2 linked regions of the Notamacropus eugenii genome follow. The protein of the gene in region 2 interacts with the protein of the main gene of each other region in a pairwise test. Links are inferred from orthologs where the notes say so. Each region holds a gene or a part of one and is shown on either strand. Other genes may lie near its edges.

Region 1 (9,643 bases), on a different chromosome or scaffold from region 2:
AGTCATCTTGACAATGGGGAAACTGAGGCACAGGGAGGGGAAGAGCCAGGCCTGGAAGTCCAGCATCAAGTTCCTCTGGTCTTCAATGTACCCTTATAGAGTTGCCAAGGTGATTTTTCCAAAATCCCAGGTCTGAGCATGACAATTTCTTAATCAATAAACTCCAGTGGTTGCCCTGAAGTGGTTGACCTCTAGAAGCAAATGTAGACTTCTCTCTTAGTCACTGAGAGGGCCCGTCCAGTCTTACACAGTCTAACTCCTCACCTCACCTGCTCTTCTTGGAATTCTTTTCAATCCCTTCAAGAGGAAAGATGCATAGGAGTGAGAGGGAGCGAGGTGACTTAATGCCTCTGTGCCTCAGTTTCCTCATCTGTAAAATGAGGACATTGGACCAGATGGTTTCTGGATTCCTTCTCAAGCTCCATTTTCTACATGAATCACCCTCCAGCCTCCAGCTGCTTTTGCCCCACCCCCTCCTTCAAGCTTCTGGTATTTAATTTTTGGGTACAGAATGTCCCCTTCTAATTCCCTCAACAGAATGTAAGCTCCTTTTTGAAGGCAGAGATTTTCATTTTTGTCTCTGTCTTCTAGCCTAGTGAAGTATGCACTTAATAAATGCTTGTTCTGGCTGATTAATAAATGCTTTGTATTGATTAATGGACCTTGGTTGGATCGCAAGAAGAGAGGGGGAGGGGGCTGTTGGTTCTAGGGTTGGTTCTGTATATGGTCCTGGGGAAATGAGACCCTGTAAGGATAGAATAGTATGGACATCAGGCCCAAGAGAAGGGCTGCTGGGGAGCCTGCACCACTCACCTTACCTTGGCTTCCCTGTCCTATGTGAGGCCTAGAAAAGGAAATAGGATTGAGGTTAGAAAACCAGGCTGTTCCTTCCCCACTGAAGCTGCAAAGTGAGGCCCACATCATAATTACTATTGCATTCCAGCTTTCCTGGGAGATTGGATGGAGGCAGCTTCCCTCTGCTCACCCTGAACCACAGCAGCAGACATGGTGAGCTGGAAGGGGCCACAGCAACAGTTTGGCTGGATGTCTCCATTTTACAGGTGTGGAAAATGAGTCTCAGGGAGGTCACAGAGAGACTTTCATGAGGCCCCACAAGCAGCAAAACTGGGATTTGAACCCAAAGTCTTCTAGGTCCATATTTCTGTCTTCTTCCAAGGCACCACACTGCTTCCCATGGCAACTGTGACGGAATCATTCGGTAACTGAGAAAAATTGCTGGAGGTGTTGGTGTGCTTTGGGTAATACTTTGGATGGCTGTCAGCATCTCTGCAATCAGCCCCCTTCTCTTCTCTGACCCTGCTCCCACCCAGCGGCCCCCAACACTGACCACCTGGGCTACGGCCCAAGCTGCAGGGCTGCCTCCCTAATCTCTCCCCCTCTAGTCCAGCCTCCATTCAGCCACTAAACTGAAGTCTGACCTGGACACTCCCCTGTTCAACAAGCTCCAGTGGCTCCCTAGGGCCTCCAGAATAAAATCTAATCAAATCCTGTTTGCTATTCAAAGTCCTACATCACCTGCCTCATGCCCACTGCCTATTACTCCCCTCCAAGTACTCTGGAACCCGGTCCTGTTGGTTTCTAGCACAGAATGTCAGGGTTGAGAGGGGCCTCAGAATAGGGGATGTCAGGGCTGGGAGGGGCCTTAGAACAGGGGAGGTCAGGGCTGGGAGGGGTCTCAGAACAGGGGGTGTCAGGGCTGGAGGGGCCTGAGAACAGGGGGTGTCAGGGCTGGAGGGACCTCAGAACAGGGGGTGTCAGGGCTGGGAGGGGCCTCAGGCCAGGGGAGGTCAGGGCTGGAGGGGCCTCAGAACAGGGGGTGTCAGGGCTGGGAGGGGTCTCAGAACAGGGGGTGTCAGGGCTGGAGGGGCCTCAGAACAGGGGGTGTCAGGGCTGGGAGGGGCCTCAGGCCAGGGGGGGTCAGGGCTGGAGGGGTCTCAGAACAGGGGGTGTCAGGGCTGGAGGGGTCTCAGAACAGGGGGTGTCAGGGCTGGGAGGGGTCTCAGAACAGGGGGTGTCAGGGTTGGGAGGGGCCTTAGAACAGGGGATGTCAGGGCTGGGAGGGGCCTCATACCAGGGGAGGTCAGGGCTGGGAGGGGTCTCAGAACAGGGGGTGTCAGGGCTGGAGGGGCCTCAGGCCAGGGGGGGTCAGGGCTGGAGGGGCCTCAGGCCAGGGGGGTCAGGGCTGGAGGGGCCTCAGGCCAGGGGAGGTCAGGGCTGGAGGGGCCTCAGAACAGGGGAGGTCAGGGCTGGAGGGGTCTCAGGCCAGGGGAGGTCAGGGCTGGAGGGGTCTCAGGCCAGGGGGTGTCAGGGTTGGGAGGGGCCTTAGAACAGGGGATGTCAGGGCTGGGAGGGGCCTCATACCAGGGGAGGTCAGGGCTGGAGGGGCCTCATACCAGGGGAGGTCAGGGCTGGAGGGGCCTGAGAACAGGGGGTGTCAGGGCTGGAGGGGTCTCAGAACAGGGGATGTCAGGGCTGGGAGGGGGCTCAGAACAGGGGGTGTCAGGGCTGGGAGGGGTCTCAGAACAGGGGGTGTCAGGGCTGGAGGGGTCTCAGAACAGGGGGTGTCAGGGCTGGAGGGGTCTCAGAACAGGGGGTGTCAGGGCTGGAGGGGTCTCAGAACAGGGGGTGTCAGGGCTGGAGGGGCCTCAGAACAGGGGGTGTCAGGGCTGGAGGGGCCTCAGGCCAGGGGAGGTCAGGGCTGGGAGGGGTCTCAGAACAGGGGGTGTCAGGGCTGGAGGGGGCTCAGAACAGGGGGTGTCAGGGTTGGGAGGGGCCTCAGAACAGGGGGTGTCAGGGTTGGGAGGGGCCTCAGAACAGGGGGTGTCAGGGCTGGAGGGGGCTCAGAACAGGGGGTGTCAGGGCTGGAGGGGTCTCAGAACAGGGGGTGTCAGGGCTGGAGGGGTCTCAGAACAGGGGGTGTCAGGGCTGGAGGGGTCTCAGAACAGGGGGTGTCAGGGCTGGAGGGGTCTCAGAACAGGGGGTGTCAGGGCTGGAGGGGCCTCAGAACAGGGGGTGTCAGGGCTGGAGGGGCCTCAGGCCAGGGGAGGTCAGGGCTGGGAGGGGTCTCAGAACAGGGGGTGTCAGGGCTGGAGGGGGCTCAGAACAGGGGGTGTCAGGGCTGGGAGGGGCCTGAGAACAGGGGGTGTCAGGGTTGGGAGGGGCCTCAGAACAGGGGGTGTCAGGGCTGGAGGGGGCTCAGAACAGGGGGTGTCAGGGCTGGAGGGGTCTCAGAACAGGGGGTGTCAGGGCTGGAGGGGTCTCAGAACAGGGGGTGTCAGGGCTGGAGGGGCCTCAGAACAGGGGGTGTCAGGGCTGGAGGGGTCTCAGAACAGGGGGTGTCAGGGCTGGAGGGGCCTCAGAACAGGGGGTGTCAGGGCTGGGAGGGGGCTCAGAACAGGGGGTGTCAGGGCTGGAGGGGTCTCAGAACAAGGGGTGTCAGGGCTGGGAGGGGGCTCAGAACAGGGGGTGTCAGGGCTGGAGGGGGCTCAGAACAGGGGGTGTCAGGGCTGGAGGGGGCTCAGAACAGGGGAGGTCAGGGCTGGAGGGGCCTGAGAGATGCTCGGCAGCAGAGTGTCTCCCTCGGTCTTGTCCAGGACCCCTCGGGCAGTGCGTGAAGCCCATGGGCCCTTCTCGGGGCACGAGAAGCCTGTTCTTACTGAAGTCCTTTAACACCCACATATACATGCACGTACATCTCACTGTAACATTGTAACTATCATCATAACCCTCTATTACATATATTACACACAGATAGAGAACAGCCATCTGTAGCTCTCGCCCGCCCTGCGGTGGGGGCAGGGCTCCGGCCAAGGTTAGCAGAGCAGGGCGGCTCCCGGCCCCCCGCCGAGCGCTCCCGCTCCGCAGTCCCCGCCCCTCCAGGCTCCCACCTCCACCTTTGCCGCACCAAACTGCACCACGGACAGGGCGCATGCGTCCGGCTCGGCTCCGGCCGGGCGGGGCCGCGGAGAGCGCGGAGGCGCTATTTCTAGCGGGTGACGTCACCCAGAAGTCGCCCTTCTGGGCGGGCCCGCCCGCCCTCCCCCTCTCCCCGTGGGCGGGGCTCCGCGCCGGCGGGCCGGGCGGTGCGCACTGCGCAGGCGCACAGGGCGCGCCCGCCGCCTCCCGCCCGCGGCCCTGCCCCCGAGCCGGCCCCTCCTCCTGCTCCCCGCCCCTCCCGCCCGGCCGCGGCAGCCTCAGCCTGGCTTCGGCGGCGGCAGCAGCGCCAGCCCGTCAGAGCAGCGGCGGCGGCGGCGGCGCGAGCCTCCCTCTCCTCGCCCTCCGCTCCCTCGCCTCGGCCCCGCGCTCTCCCCGTCGGGCCGCGGCCCCAGCCCGGGAGCCGCCCGAGCCGAGCCGGAGCCGCCCGAGGCGCGGGCGCACGTGGCCGAGGAGCCCAGCCCAGGCCGGCCGGGCCTGACGAGGAGCCGCGGGGCGGCGGCGGCGGAGCGGCCCGAGCGGGCGGCGGGAGCGGCGGCATGGGGGACCGGGAGCAGCTGCTGCAGCGCGCGCGGCTGGCCGAGCAGGCGGAGCGCTACGACGACATGGCCTCCGCCATGAAGGCGGTGAGTGCGCGTGCGCGGGCGGCGGGGGCGCGCGGGGCGGCCGGGAGCGCGCGGGAGGGGCGGGGGCGGGGGCGGGCTGGGCCCCCCGCGGAGGCCCGGGGTCGTTTGCTGCGGGTCCGCAGCCCGCGCTCCCTGCCCCCCGATGCCCCTCCCGCCCAGGCTCAGCCCCCAGCGCATCCCCCTCCGTGCCCCCCGCCTTGGGACGCTCCCGGAGGTCCCTGAGCCCGGGCTGGGGGAGGGGCGGCCGGCCGGGCCGAGCCCGCCTTTGGCAGGCCTTGGCGCCCTGTCACCCCGCTGCTGCCCCTGTACCCCAGCGGGGGCCCTCAGGTTTGAGGTGCCACTTGGTGTCTGCGGGGGGCTGCAGCTGGCCACGCCCTGCCTGGGGTCCCCCGCGGTGCGTGCATCCCCCTTGGTCCGGCTCTCCGCGGTGCTGCGAGCCCAGCCGTGCCCAGAAGAGGGTTCCCGCACCCGCCTCTTCGGGGGGCCCAGAGAACTGGGAGTCCTCCCTGTCCTCACGTGCCGGCCCTCCGCCTGGCCTGTAGAGGTGCTCGGGGGCAGCGCCCCCAGCCCGGGCACGCGGGTTTGGGGCATCTTAGAGCCGGAGGAGACTCAGTCCTTAAGCACTTACGAAGTGCCCACTGTGTGCCCTGGGGGCACAAAAAGGGGAAAGACAGGCCCTGTCCTCGGGAGCTCCTAACCTGCTGGCCTCTGCCCGGGGCAGAGGTGGGGGCTCCTCCCTGGGTGTGTCTGCCCCATCACCATCTTTCCCCAGGTTCTCCTGCCCTCCCTCTTCCCAGGCCCCCCATTGGTGACCTTGGCATCCCCCTTGACTGTGCCCAAGCCTTGGCTCCCTGCTGGTGGTGACACACCCTGGCTCCAGCCTCCCTGGCGCTTCTGGGAGCCCCCCCAGTCCGACTCCCACCTGCCTCCCATGCTCTACCCTGGGCACCCCCGTCCCTGGCTGTACCCCACCTTCTGCATCAGCTTCCGCCATTGGGGAATTGATCATTGTTCAGTCTGGCCTTCTTACTGAAGTAGTTGTGAGAGAACTGGGCTTCCTCTCACTGACCACCTAGAAGACCCCCCAGCTCTTCTCTCCCTTTTCCCCACCCCCTAAAGCCGCCCAGAGCCTCCATCTTCTTTTGAGACTTGGTTCTTCTGAAAACCCTCCTGGTCTTGGAGACCAGACTTCTTCCTTCCCAAATTATCTTGTATTTCATTATCAGGATGTTGGCACTTTGATGCGTCAGAGGGCAGGCCCCGTTTCAGTTTGTGTCTTTGTGGGTAAGGGGCCCCGCACACACATGGTAGTAGGTGCCTCCGGTGTGGGTCTGAATGGAGGCAGCCCTTTCCGTTGTCGGACACCTCTTATTGTTTGGTGGCTGTCTTACTCTGAATGGCCTGCCGCTTAGAGCTCTCCACCCCAGCTCTGTGGGCTGGCAGCCTGTGGTGAGCGGTTTGCTGAGGGGCTTTGGGGCTGTATGGATTTCATCTTTTTTTTCCACATGATAAAATGTCACACTGCAGACAGGGACCTTTCTAGGGCTGATGCTCTGGTGTCGGATTTAGGGGCTCTTCCCCCTTTCCTGTGGGAATCCTTGATCCCACAAGGTCTGAAGAGAATGCCCAGTGGTCAGAAGGAGGGTGAAACTGTTCAAGGGAGCCCAGAGGGAGGGGCTGGGTTGGGAGTTCAGGTGTGGCTCTGCTGGTGACCAAGGTGACCTTGGGCAGGTCCCTGACTTTCCCTGAGCCCCAGTGTCCAAAGCTGCAGAGTGGAAGTTAGGAGGAGGGGGCAGGGCTAGAATACTCAACTCTCTTAGCTTTAACATATTGTGATTTTAAGAGGGCAGGAAAATGAAGGCAGGATCACCCAAGCAGAGATTGAAGACGCCTGAAAGACCACCCCACCTGTGCCCTTAGTTTCAGTCTGAGGCCTCAAGAGGTTGAGGGCTGTGTTCAAGGTCACACAGAGGCAGGACCTGAACACAGGGCCACTCTGGCTCCAGAATCTTTTGAGAAACTGACTGAATGGGGATAGCATTTGGGATTTCCCAGGCCCCTGACAGACATTTGAGGGCTCTAGAACATTGAGTGCTGTTTGGAAAGCAGAAAGAATGGGACCCCACATCCTCCTCACAAGAAGATGGAGGACCCCACCCTGCAAGCCTGATCCTATTACTCAGCAGTTTTGTAAGGAGGCTTTAATTTAGCTTCTTGCAGATTAATGGGCCCGTCACTGTCCTGGGAATAGTCTTCCTCCGAGATGATTGATTTTTTTTTTTTTGGACAAGTCATTCCAGTTATTCAAACGTCACTTTTCCCAGGATGATTCTGTTCTGTGCATTGCTTTAACATGATGCCCTATTTTTCCGTTTTCTGAATTCTGAGTTATTTCAGTTTTTTCCTAGTCAAATTACTGGGGGGATATTCATTGGAAAGAACTTGGGGAGCAGTAGACAACATATCCCCCTATTTATAAAATACATACTATTAGGGCATTCAGATGGATAGAGTGCTGGGCCTGGAGTTAGGGAGACCTGAGTTCAAATCCAACCTCAGACGGTCGCTGTGTGACCCTGGGCAAGCCACTTGACCGTGTTTGCCTCAGTTTCCTTCTCTGTAAAATGGGCTGGAAAAGGAAATGGCAAAACCACTCCAGTATCCATGCCAAAAAAAACCTCCAAAGGGGTCCTGAAGAGCCCAACAAAACTGAACAACAACAAATACATACCTTCGGGGAAGCGTCGGATGTGGACAACATCCTCACATTGGTGCCCTTGATTTCTTGTTTGTTTCCAGTTTTTGGATTTGTTCCTTGGTTGGAGTCATTACCAACCAGAGGGATCCTCTAGTTAAATTTTGAAGCAGCATAGGTGCATTTCAGACATTGGTGTCCAGATCATTCAGTAAAACAGACTTTTCCTTCCATCCATGATAGTGGTAGCTAGAGAAGGAACAATCCTGAGCTTTCTCTGTGGCCTTAACTTAGGTCCAGGCTTATTTTCTGTTCACGGAAGACAAGAGTGGTTCAGTTCAGTGAGAAGAGTGCTAGATGGAAGGTCAGAGGCCCTGGGTTCCAGTACTGTGTGACCTTGGGAAAACCACTTTACCTCAGTTTTCTCATCTGTAACATGAAGTTTTATTGGATGACCTTGGAGGGCCTTTACAGTTTGAAATCTGGGGATGGGAGTGTGCAGTTAACCCACTGACAAAGAATTAGAATAGGTAAGAGACTTGGATTTGGGAGTCAGGAGACCTGGGTTCAAGTGTTGACTCACACTTGGCGTGGTACCTTAGATAAGATCATATTTGATCTTATCCTATCTGCTTATTCTATCTGCCTCCCCTTCCCCCAGATTGAAAGCTAAAAGGGGGTGCCCTTTTGAAAAATGCTGTGGGAAATTTGCAATGGTTGTGTTCTGATAAAACTGGGAAGTTATGGAAGGTTTTTAATATTTAAGGAACTGAAGGGAGCAGACCTCTAATCAAGTTAAGGGTGATTATCCAAGATGGAAAGTGTTAATGGACAGCTAATTCCCATTGCCCAAGATTGCTCATTTTAAATTAGAATTGAGAAATGGGCATAGATTTGTATGAAATTACAAAAGCCAGTCAGAATTTACCGGAGGCAGTGTATCAGGCTGTGTCTCAAACTGGTTGTAGGTTGCACATGTATGAAGGCTGGAGAAGTTGGAATCTCTTGAGGTCTTAAAACCAAGAAATGGGAGGCACTTGAGGAAGAAGCCAGAGAGGAAGAGACCCTTGTGGGCTCAGCTGGGGCCATGAGGCTCTTGGCCCAACAGCTGGAGACAGATCATGTGACAGCAGATGAAGCAAGTGGTGTATGCACTGGGGGAGTGAGGACAGAAGCCAGCGGGGAATGCTGAGCTGCAGAAGGCACCAGTGAGGCCTTTGCACGCTGGCTGAAGCCTTGATCCTTGACTCCTGAAGGTCTGGAGCCATGTGCCTGAAACATTCTAGAAGAAAGGCTGTGAGTGAGCCCCACTTCCTACTGGCCAGTGCAGAAGGAGGGCTATAATGGCAGCTTTGTCCTGTATCTTAGGAGATCTGAGCTGGCTCTTCTTTTTTTTCACTCTCTCAAGTTGCCTGAGTTGAAAACTGGTGAGAAAGTACGATCCTCTCACCAGCGAGTGGCCTGCCTGGCAAGAGTGATGGGACCTCAGGCCCTGGGGTCTTTTTCACCTCCAGTCAGTGGAGTAGTTTAGCTTTCTCCCTTCCTGCTTTTCCTTCCATTATATAAATTCTTTTTGTTCCCCCTTGAGGAAACTCACCTACAATTACAATACTCAAAACTGACTTGTTTTCCCCTTTCGTTGGGGATTTATAATAATTATAACTGGCATTTAGATAGCCCTTTAAGATTTATAATATTGTCTCATTTGATCCTCACAAGAGCCCAGGGGAAGAAAGTGCTGTTATTATCCACAATTTTTGCAGCTGAGGAAACAAACAAGGGTTAAATGACTTGCCCTGAGTCATTAAACTAGTAAGTGTCTGAGGCAAGATTTGAACTCAGATCTTCTTCACTCCAGCCTTGGTGGTAGGTTTCACATTGGTTAATTTATGTCCTACCCCCAGTGCCTGAATTTCATGCCTTGTGTGTAGGATCCACTAAATTTAGACCTGGGAACTCTTAAGTTTGTGTATTAAAAGTAAAGCCACACCTCATATCCACATGGTAGGACACCGTTCATACTTTTCTGATAGCTGATCAGTTGTTAGGTAAGTACACACTTGAACTTCACATGTGTTGACCCTGCTTCAGGGTCCCTGTTAACTGTAAGACTACATTCAGTCAAATGTCCTTGTACTATTTGGAAACACTTTCTTGGTCTCATATATGCTAGAGTTTTAAACAAAGGAGTCCATACTCAGTCATACGTTACAGCTACTAGGACCTGAAGCCCCTAATGTGACTGCTTCTGCTTACCTTTGTCTTTTATCTGAAGTGATGACCTTTGACATAGATGTATAAGCATGGCCTTAAATTTCTAATTGTTCTTCCTGGTTTCCTTTATGTAATCACAGCAGCACAACTTACC
Region 2 (9,643 bases):
AACATTTATAAGGAAATTTGAGGTTCAGTGCCATTGAACCACTGATGATGAAAATGTCTCTCAAAAACAATACCTGACATCCTCCCCTCATATATTCCCCAACTCCATTTTTGGAAAGCACTAATCCAAAACTGTAAAATTCCCATATTGTATACCAAGAACTGCTGGAGGCAGAGTCAAGTACATTAAACTAGAAGAATATATAAGCCATAACATATTTTATTTTTTAGAATTTCTTTTTTTCATTATAGATTTAGAGTTGGGTGGGAGGGAAACCTTAGATAGGCCATTTAGTCCAACCCCTTCCCTTCAGAGATGAGGAAACTGAGGCCTAGAGAGTTAAGTAAGTGACTTGCCCACAATCACATAAGTAGTGACTCAGGGAGGATTTAAACCTAGGTCCTGAGTCTAAAGCCTTTCCACTGTACCAGACTGTCTTCTACCTCCACTTATATTTCTCTGGAGCTTAGAAATACTCCCATGAAGTGATGCTCTTATTATTAGAAGTATTATTAGCCTCCATATTATAGATGAGGAAACTGAGGAAGAGGAACTAGGTTAAATGATTTGCTCAAGGTGCACAGTCAGGGAGCACAAGAGCCAAGGAATCTTCCTGACTCCCCAGTCTTGTAACTTTATTCAATATGCCAAACCATCTTCCTGATCAGTCAAACAACAAGTATTTATTATTTGCTGGGCATGATGCTAGGTGTTGGGAATAAAAAAGTTCGATGAAAGCAACAATTCCTACTTTCAAGGAGATTAAATTTCTAATATACTAAAAATTGGTATACAGAGTAGGCAGTCAATAATGCTTCAGAAGGTCCCCAGGATCCCTCAGGTGACACACTGGTCTATAAGAATTAAGCAACTGTAATAGTTAGAATTGGAGTTCAATTATTATTCATCTCCAAATCAATAAAAGCTGGTACTCCAGATGCCAACTACTGGCTCTCTTTTTCACCCCCCAGGGGCCTTCACACCTAATCAAACAGTACAGGAAAATGAGGGCCATGAAGAGGAAATGGAAAGAGCAAAACATAAGAAATATGGAGAAGCAGGGAGGCCAGCAGAGATTATCTTCTAGCTAGGGTGATTTTAGGTTCTAGCTACCAAACCCATTTTGGCTAACGAGTCATAGTGGTGCAAGCACCAGGTGTTTTCATTGCTTCCTTTTCCTATCATCACATATTACTAAAAAAAAAAAAAAAAAAAAGACAATGAAAATCCCCAAACATTTCCCAATTATCCCGGTATTTCCCCAGGTAGTCTCAAAGTATCTCCCTTTCTTTATATGACTCCTGAACCTTCAAGGTGACAAAGATATGCATCAAGAATGAGTTGGCTCTGGTACTGTATCAAGAAAGCCTTTTCACAGCACTCTTCCAAGGCTGAAAGCTAACCTACCTTCCAAGGCAAATATACATATATCTTAGGGATGCTGAGATCCTTGCTTGCTACTTTGGCCTATCATAATGCATAAGGTATTAAGTAATGTAGACATCTGCTACCCTATAGGATTTCAAATTATGGTGATCACTATGAACCCTGACACTTCTTTCATTATTATTATTATAAAAAATGTAAAAGGTTTTTCTCTAGTGGAATTTTTTTCAATGACTTCAATTTCAATTTGACATTGCTATATGTGATTTCAGGTGAATAATTTTTCCTTCCCTCAGCCAAATGTTAAAGTGTTTTTCTCTCTCGATAGCAGGGAGACTGAAGGCTGCAAGTGTGGTCTTTCAAAATGTCCTTGATTTCTCCATCAGAAACATGTTTATAAAACTCTAACCTTCGAGGGAAATAAGATGGGCAGCACTAAATCCCTTGGAGAGAGGAGGTCTTGGCTTGCATCCTGGCAAATCACTTGCACTATTTGGATCTTAACTTCATCTATAAAAAAGGAAGACTTAACACTTACATGACCTCCCTGACAGAATGGCTCTGAGTGAAATGTTTTGTAAATCTTAGATCACTTAAAAATGGGTCACCATAAAAAGGCCTTTAAAGAGTCCTGAAAACATGTGAAGAATGAATCACCCTTTTATTCACTGCTTCTTCTAGTCCCAGAGGTCTTCCTTAAATTGTGAGAGCCAAAATACATCCACACAAACCCATCTTAACATCAATATTCGAGAACATGAACCAACTCAACCATTTACCGCAGTCCTTCATCCTCCAAAAACTACCCACTGAAACAAACAAAAATACCCCCTTCCAAATTTCCAGTTCTTAGACCTCACTCCAGATGGGGCCACGGAGTAAACATTTCTAAAAACAGATGGTTATACACTTGTAGAAGACAAGAAAATAGTCTTATGAATATGTAAAAAAAAAAAGGTGATGTTTTGTAATATTTCTTTGACTCATTTCACAAAAATTTCCCCAAATTCTGTCACTGGGAACTACAAAATTCTTTAGAAGTTATTCATATCTAGAAGCCTCCTCTTTTTTCCTTTTGGTTTTTCTTTTTCTTTTTCCATTTTGCACAGGTGCTTTGGCATGCGAGATGGAAATCTGTGAACTGTATCAACGAAAACCCCAATTCCATTCTGGAAAGCACTCCTCCAAAGCCTTAAATTCCCCAAACTGCTGGAGGCAAGGTCCGGTGCATTAGACTAGAATATCTGCATCACTGACTGGCCCACAACCTGGTCTTTGGATCCTTTAGAGCAGCCAGCACGACGCCTTACCCTTAGCACGGGTTCAACAATTGCTTCATACATGCAGCACTGTGCCTCAGTTTCCCCCAAAGCAATCACTCTTTTCTTTCCTTCCAGTGTTAAAGATCTGTGTCATCATCTCTTAAATCTTTCCCTGTTCATGTCTCAAGACTTCAGGGCTTCCATCGAGGGGAAGGACAGCCAGCTTCTGAAGCCCTTTATCAGCCTGGTTTCCCTAGGAGAAGAGAGCTGCAGGCAGCGGGCTCCGGCCTCAGGCCAGTCCTTCATGCCCCGGCCGTCCTGAAGAGGCCAGGTGGCAGGATGTGGGACAAGCCAGCCCGGCGAAGCTGGCTGACCAGGGCTGGGGGGGGCAGGGCTTTCAGCGTCTGCGGAGCTTTAGAAAGCCAAGAAGCCGACCCCGTCCGCCAAGGCCCCGGGGAGGCGCGGCCCGGGGAGGCGCGGCCCGGGGGCGCGCCGCAGCGTCCTCCGCCTCTGCGCTCTGCACCGCGGGGAATGCCGCGTTCTCCGCGCTCTCCGTGGCCCTGGGCGGACAAGGTGGAATCCCCCTGCGTGACTTCTAATTGCTAGCTTCTAAAGTCGGCGCTTCCACGACTCTAGCTAACGTTCCGTCCCTTTGCAGCTAAAGGTCTCCGCACGATCTCTAATTCATCTTAAAGGCGCAGCCCTTCGGGGGGATCCGGAGGCGCCCCCCGCCCCGGCCTGCCCTCCTCCCCTCCCCGCCCCATCACCACCACAAGCTGCAAGCCAGGGGTCAAGGTCCGTGCCACCCTCGTGCGGCCGGATCGCGCCCACTCCCCTGCAAGGTTTGGGGGCGCAGAGGTAGGTCGGGGTTACCTTGGCGAAGCAGCAGCGAGCGAGCTCCCAACGAAACGCCAAAGTCCCGAATATTTAGTGCACGAGCAGGCCCGGGGCCGACGTGAAGGTCGTAGCGGCGGGGCGCTCCATGGGCAGGCAGGCAGGCAGGCAGCCTGGGGCTCGGCTGCGCTAAGTCCGGCCGGGCCGGCCTCCGGCCGCCTCCACTGCCGTCACCGCTCCCGGACTAGGACTCTCCTCCTCCGCCGCCGGCCTGCTCTCCCAGCTGCTCCACCCCCGCCGGCTCCTAGCCTAGATCCTAGATCCTAGAGCCTAGATCCTAGAACGACTGCGCCAGTTCTCCTTTTTCCTTTCTTTTAGCCAGGGTAATAATATATGAGCCCGGGGATTTCCAGCCTGGGCGCTGGGACTTTCCGACATGTGACTGTGACGCCCAGCGGCGGCTCTCTGCAGAGCACTCGGACCGGGGCGGGCGCGGGTGCAAAGGGCTCTGCCCCGGGCAGGCCGCGCACCGCCGGCCACCAGGGGGCTCCCGCAGGGGCCCGGGGGGCCCGAAAAATTCCTCACCCTTTCAAAGCCGGGGTTGTCCCCGCGTGACTCAACCTGGGCATTTCGGAAGCGCCGGCCGGACGTCATGTCCATGTGGAAATCGCGGTGATGGGAATGAAGACGGTTCTTTTTTTTTCGCCGTCGTTTTTCTTCAAAAAATAAAAACAAAAATCACCTACTTTGGAGAAGAACAAAAAAGCGGAGGGAGGGGGAAACGTGGAAAGAAAGGCCTCGGTTCCGCCCCCGCCGATGACTGCCTCCCCGGGGGCGTCCGGGGGCCGCTTGCTCGGGAAGGGCCCTCGGTGCTCGAGGGAGTTGTCCAGGAATCCCGGGCGGGGGCAGGGGGTGTCACGGTGCCTTCGCCTCCTCCGTCCGGGCTCCCCAGCCATCGGTGCCCCGTAGCCACACCCCCCAGGAGGCAGACCCGGGCCGAGATGCGGAGCTCTCCCGGATTTCAGCCCCACGGGGGGATTGGGACGTGCTGGACCGCAGCACCCCCTTCTCCCTGCTCCTCACCGAAGCCCCAGCCCGTGATTCTGCATCGTCACCAAGGTGCCTCATTGGGACCCCCCACCCACCTCCACCCAAAAGTACCCCGTTCTCTCAAACCTTTTTCTGACCTCCAAGGAGTCCTGTGTCAGCTTCCTTAGAAAACCCCCAGCTGGTGACTGATAAATTTATTGGCGATAGTGACAGGGACTGTGATATGACTGATGCAGGGAACTGCCGAAAGAGGAAACTCCATCCACCGAGGCAGGTTGGCACCTTCTCTGACAGCTGTCATCTCAGAGAGTGGCCAAGAGCCTTGAGTGACTTGCCCAAGGTCCAGCCCAAAGACTGGATTAGATCCTGGCTTTTTCTAGTAAAAAACCACCACCACCACCATCATCACCACCATCACCACCACCACCACCATCACCATCATCCCCACCATCATCATCACCACCATCACCACCACCACCACCACCACCATCATCCCCACCATCATCACCACCACTACTACCACCATCATCACCACCACTACTACCACCACCACCGCCATCATCATCATCATCATCACCACCACCACCACCACCACCACCATCATCCCCACCATCATCACCACCACTACTACCACCACCACCACCATCATCATCACCACCACCATCATTATCATCACCACCACCATCACCACCACCACCACCACCACCATCATCATCACCACCACCATCACCATCATCACCACCATCACCACCATCATCACCGCCACCACCATCATCATCATCATCATCCTTATAGGTAGGATAGTTCAGAAGCTAAAATCTATAGGTTTTAAATCCTGCCTAAGGCATGTATTGAATGTGACCCAGGTCAAGTCATTTAACCTGGAAGGCAAAGTTGAAGAGAAGGTATTACCTGCATTGGCAAAGGGAGTTCTCTGTATCAATGGAATCAGAGATTCAGTATCTATCACAATTATTATTACTGGTAGTAGTGGCCAGAATAATAGCCTATGTGTATGGAAAGGGCACAAAACACTTTCAAGCATTGTCAATCAATCAAAATGTATTGTTTTTTACTGAAAAAGCTATCAAGATTTATTCTCATAGTGAGAATCACTGATGGAGGCGTCTGTTGGACATTTTTATGCTAAAAACTTTTCTCCCAGGCATTGGCATTCAAATATATGCCATTTATTGTGCAATGCTCACGTTTAAAGTATGTCAACCCACATCACTTATTGAGTATTGATAATGTGCATAATGCTGGAATATACTTATGGTCTGTACCATCTACTTTGGTACATAATTATACATGATAGTAAATCATTAGCTGTGTTATGAGTTGGACTTATTTCTCCCAAATGATTGTAAATTCCTTGAGAAAATGAGATTAGATGGTTTCTAAGATCCCTCAAAGTTCTCAATCTATGTCAGTCAATATTTATTAAACAGCTCCTATGTACCAAGCATTATGTTAAGCACTGGAGATGCAAAAAAAGGCAAAAGATGGTCCCTGCTTTCCAGGAGCTTATAATCTAATGGAGGATGCAACATGTAAGCAAATATATACAAAGCTATATGCAAGGTAAATAGGAAATAATTAAGAAATGGAAGCCACTAGAATTTAGAGGCATTGGGAGAGACTTCCTGTAAAAATGGGATTTCAGTTGGGACTTAAAGGAAATCAGGGAAATCAGTGGGTGGAGTTGAAGAGAGAGAGCATCCCAGACATGGATGACAGCCAGAGAAAATACTCCAGCCAAGAGATGAGGGGTCTTGTCTGTGGAACAGCCAGGAGGCCAGTGTCACTGAATCAAAGTATACCTGGTGGGGGGAGTAAGGTGGAAGAAGACTGAAATGGTAGAAAACATTGAGTTTATGAAGGGTTTTGAATGCCCAGAACATTTTGATTTTGATCTCGGAGGTGATAGGGAGCTAATGATATTTATAGAGTAGGGGAGTGTCTTGGTTGCACCTACTCTTTAGGAAAATCACTTTGGTGACTGAAAAGAGGATGGATTGGAGTGGAGAGAGATTTGAGGCAGATAGACCCACCAGCAGGCAGGCCATTGCATAATCCAGGCATGAAGGGATGATGGCCTCCATTAGAGTGGTAGCAGTATCAGAAAGAGGCATATACCACTGGTACTACAAAGTCAAAATCCATAGACTTTGTTAACAGATTGGTTACAGGGAGGGAGAGATAGTGAGGAGTCCATGATAACTTCTAGGTTGGGAGCCTGAGGGACTAGGAAGATTGTGTTGCTCTCTATAGTAATAGGGAAGGTGAGAGAGGGGGACGGTTTAAGGGGAAAGATAATGATTTCTGTTTTGGACATTTTAGCTTAAAATGTATACAGGACATCTAGTTTGAAATGTCTGAAAGGCATTTGGATATGGGAAACTGGAGGCCAGCTGAGGGTTTGGGACAGGATAGGTAGATTTGAGAATCATCCTCATCATCAAGACAGCAATTAAATCCACTGGAGCTGGTGAGATCATCAAGTATAGTAGTGTAGAGGGAGAAGAGAAGAGGCCCGAGACAGAACCTGGAGGAACACCTCAGGCACACCTTAGAAGTCATGATCTGGATGCGGATTCAGCAAAGGAGACTGAGAAGGAGCAGTCAGATAGGCTGAAGGAGAACCAGGAGAGACCAGTGTTCTAAAAACCTCGAGAAAAGAGAAATTAAGATGGAGAAAGTCATCAACATTTTCAAAGGCTGCAGAGAGATCAAGGAGATTGAGGACTGGAAAAGGCCACTAGATTTGGCAGTGGATTGGTAATTTTGCAGAGAGCAGTTTAAGTGGAATGATAAGGTCAGAAACTGAATTGTAAGCAGGTAAGAAGAGTAGGGAAGGAAAGTGGTTAGATAGAGGGGATGGTCAAGGGTTGTTGTTGTTTTTGAGGATGCAAGAGAAGTGGGCATATTTGTAGGCCATAGGGAATGAGCCTATAGACAGGGAGAGATTAAAAATAACTGATAGAGTGGGGATGACTGTCGGAGGAGATAGGAAGCAATGGGATTGATTAAACAGGCAAAAAGGGTTACCTTTAGTAAGAAGTAAGGCCATCTCATCATGTGAGACAGAAGCGCAGGAGTAGATAGTGGCAGAAGCCATTTGAATGACAAAATGGCCTCAGTTTTTTTTTCTGTAAAATATGATATCGGGAACTTAGCTGAGAAGTTGGGGGAAGTCCAACCTAGGGGTGGTTTGAGAGAGTAGGATAGTGAATCAATAAGGGAAGTATAGTAGGATTGCCTAGCAGTGGTGAGGGCTTATTTCAGGTTGTATAATATAAATTTGTAGTGAACCCAATCATAATAGTTGAGTGATTTTTCCTTCTTTCTTTGCTCAATTGCACATATATAGGAGTGAAGACATTGAATGGTGAGAGTGATCCAAGACTAAAGCTTGGCAGGGGAGTAAGCCTAGGGTCTGGAGATACCAGCTATCAGGATTTTGATTGGGTTCTAGAAATGAATAGCACGAATCTCAAAGGGAAAAGAAGGATGGAGCTAGGAAGAGATCTTGGAAGTGGCAAAGGGGAGCAAGTAGTATTCTAATTCCCCTGACTTGGTCAATGATCCAAGGAGAATGAGCAAAGGTGTAGCCAATACTGGAATGAACTCATGAGGTGTAGGCTGCCTGAATGTAGGAATACCTGGTTTCAGATGCTACCTCTGATACTTACTGTCTGACCATGGGTAAGTCACCTTGCTTCTTATAGCTTCAGTTTCCTCACTTGTAAAATGTGGTTAAGGAACATCAGTTCCACCTCACAGACTTAGGATGAGGGTCAAATGAGATAATGTATGTAAAGTGCTTTGCAAACCTTAAAGCCACATATGGGTACCTTATTTTTTATCTTTATAATTGTCCCCATTTTACAGAAACAGACTCAGGTGTAGTAACTTGCTCCACTTCATCATCCCCCCCCTCCCAGGAATTATTGAGTTAATAATCTCCTTAATTTGTAATAACTACCAATTAACATTTTCATTTTAACTCCAATCCCTCTGCTGAATCTTGGAATTTGGGTGGTATGTGAGTTCTTTGGAGAGGAGAAGGTCTCAAATCATATGACAACGCTTCTCTGCATTTTGGCCCAACTCTGGTTCCTACTGCCTCAGTGGTTTCTGCTCACAAGGAGCCTGAAAGGTCTTCTAAATTAGAACTGTTTACTTTTGGAAGAGGAGACTCGAGGAAAACTGTAGTTAAGGGATGTGTTTAAGATAACCTGTGAATAGATGGAAATGGAGATAAGATTCAGCATTAAAACTCTCCCTTATCGATGATATTGCTGGTGTTTCTTCTCACTGTTGACTAGGTGAGTCTAACGAGGGAGAACGGTGACTGGATTTGGAATTAGAGGATAGGCTTGAATTTTGGCTTCCCTTCCTTCTGGGTCTCAGTTTCCTTCCCTGTAAAACGAGGAGGCTAAAAAAGAGAATCTCTAAAGTTCCTTTCAGTTCTAAATAATATGAAACCTATGAATTCTGAACTGGCCAAGAGCAAGGTATGTTTATCTTTATATCTTATCTTCTGGTACTCTATCTCAGGAACATTTTAAATTGCTTTGAAGTAAATGAGGGAGAGTTTGAAAGAGATCCTTGGACATGTTGACAAATGTTTGCATGTTGTCTTACCCAAGTAGCGGGTGAGCATCCTGAGTGGGGATTGTCTTCATTTTTTTTTCTGTTTGTATTGTTCAGGCTTAGCACAGTACTTGGCACATAGCTAAATATATTTTCACTCGTTCATTCTCTATTCCTTTTTATTAAGTTTTAAAATTTGTTTTAAGCTTAAATTCAAAATAAGAAGAAAACATTTCCATGTACATAGCAGAACATAAGACAGGATTCAATATAAAGCAATACATTTCCATTTAAGCAAAGCTATATAATAAATACTGCACATTATTTTCAGTGTCTGCCTTTGCTTCCTTATAGATTTTCTTTTGTCCTCTGCTGTGCACTTTTTACTTTATTTTTCCCCCTTCCTCCCCACATCAGGTTACAATTAAGCTCCAATACATACATATATATATATATATATGTATGTATGTATGTATATGTACTCATAATAAATATCCATACATATAAAATAT

Evidence for each region.
Region 1: the proteins of TNFAIP3 (region 2) and YWHAH interact in a two-hybrid assay, tested with the Homo sapiens proteins (2 studies listed by BioGRID). The link is inferred for Notamacropus eugenii from reciprocal best matches to the Homo sapiens genes TNFAIP3 and YWHAH.

Annotation. Positions count from the first base shown.
Region 1 is NC_092875.1:13,205,895-13,215,537, reverse strand, and holds the start of YWHAH (14-3-3 protein eta), read left to right. Parts: upstream 1-4,200; 5' UTR 4,201-4,493; coding exon 4,494-4,580; intron 4,581-9,643. UniProt on the Homo sapiens protein: Adapter protein implicated in the regulation of a large spectrum of both general and specialized signaling pathways. Binds to a large number of partners, usually by recognition of a phosphoserine or phosphothreonine motif.
Region 2 is NC_092873.1:224,323,467-224,333,109, reverse strand, and holds the start of TNFAIP3 (tumor necrosis factor alpha-induced protein 3), read right to left. Parts: upstream 4,450-9,643; 5' UTR 4,143-4,449; coding exon 4,068-4,142; intron 4,001-4,067; exon of another isoform or gene 3,522-4,000; intron 3,070-3,521; exon of another isoform or gene 2,730-3,069; coding exon of another isoform or gene 2,697-2,729; intron 1-2,696. UniProt on the Homo sapiens protein: Ubiquitin-editing enzyme that contains both ubiquitin ligase and deubiquitinase activities.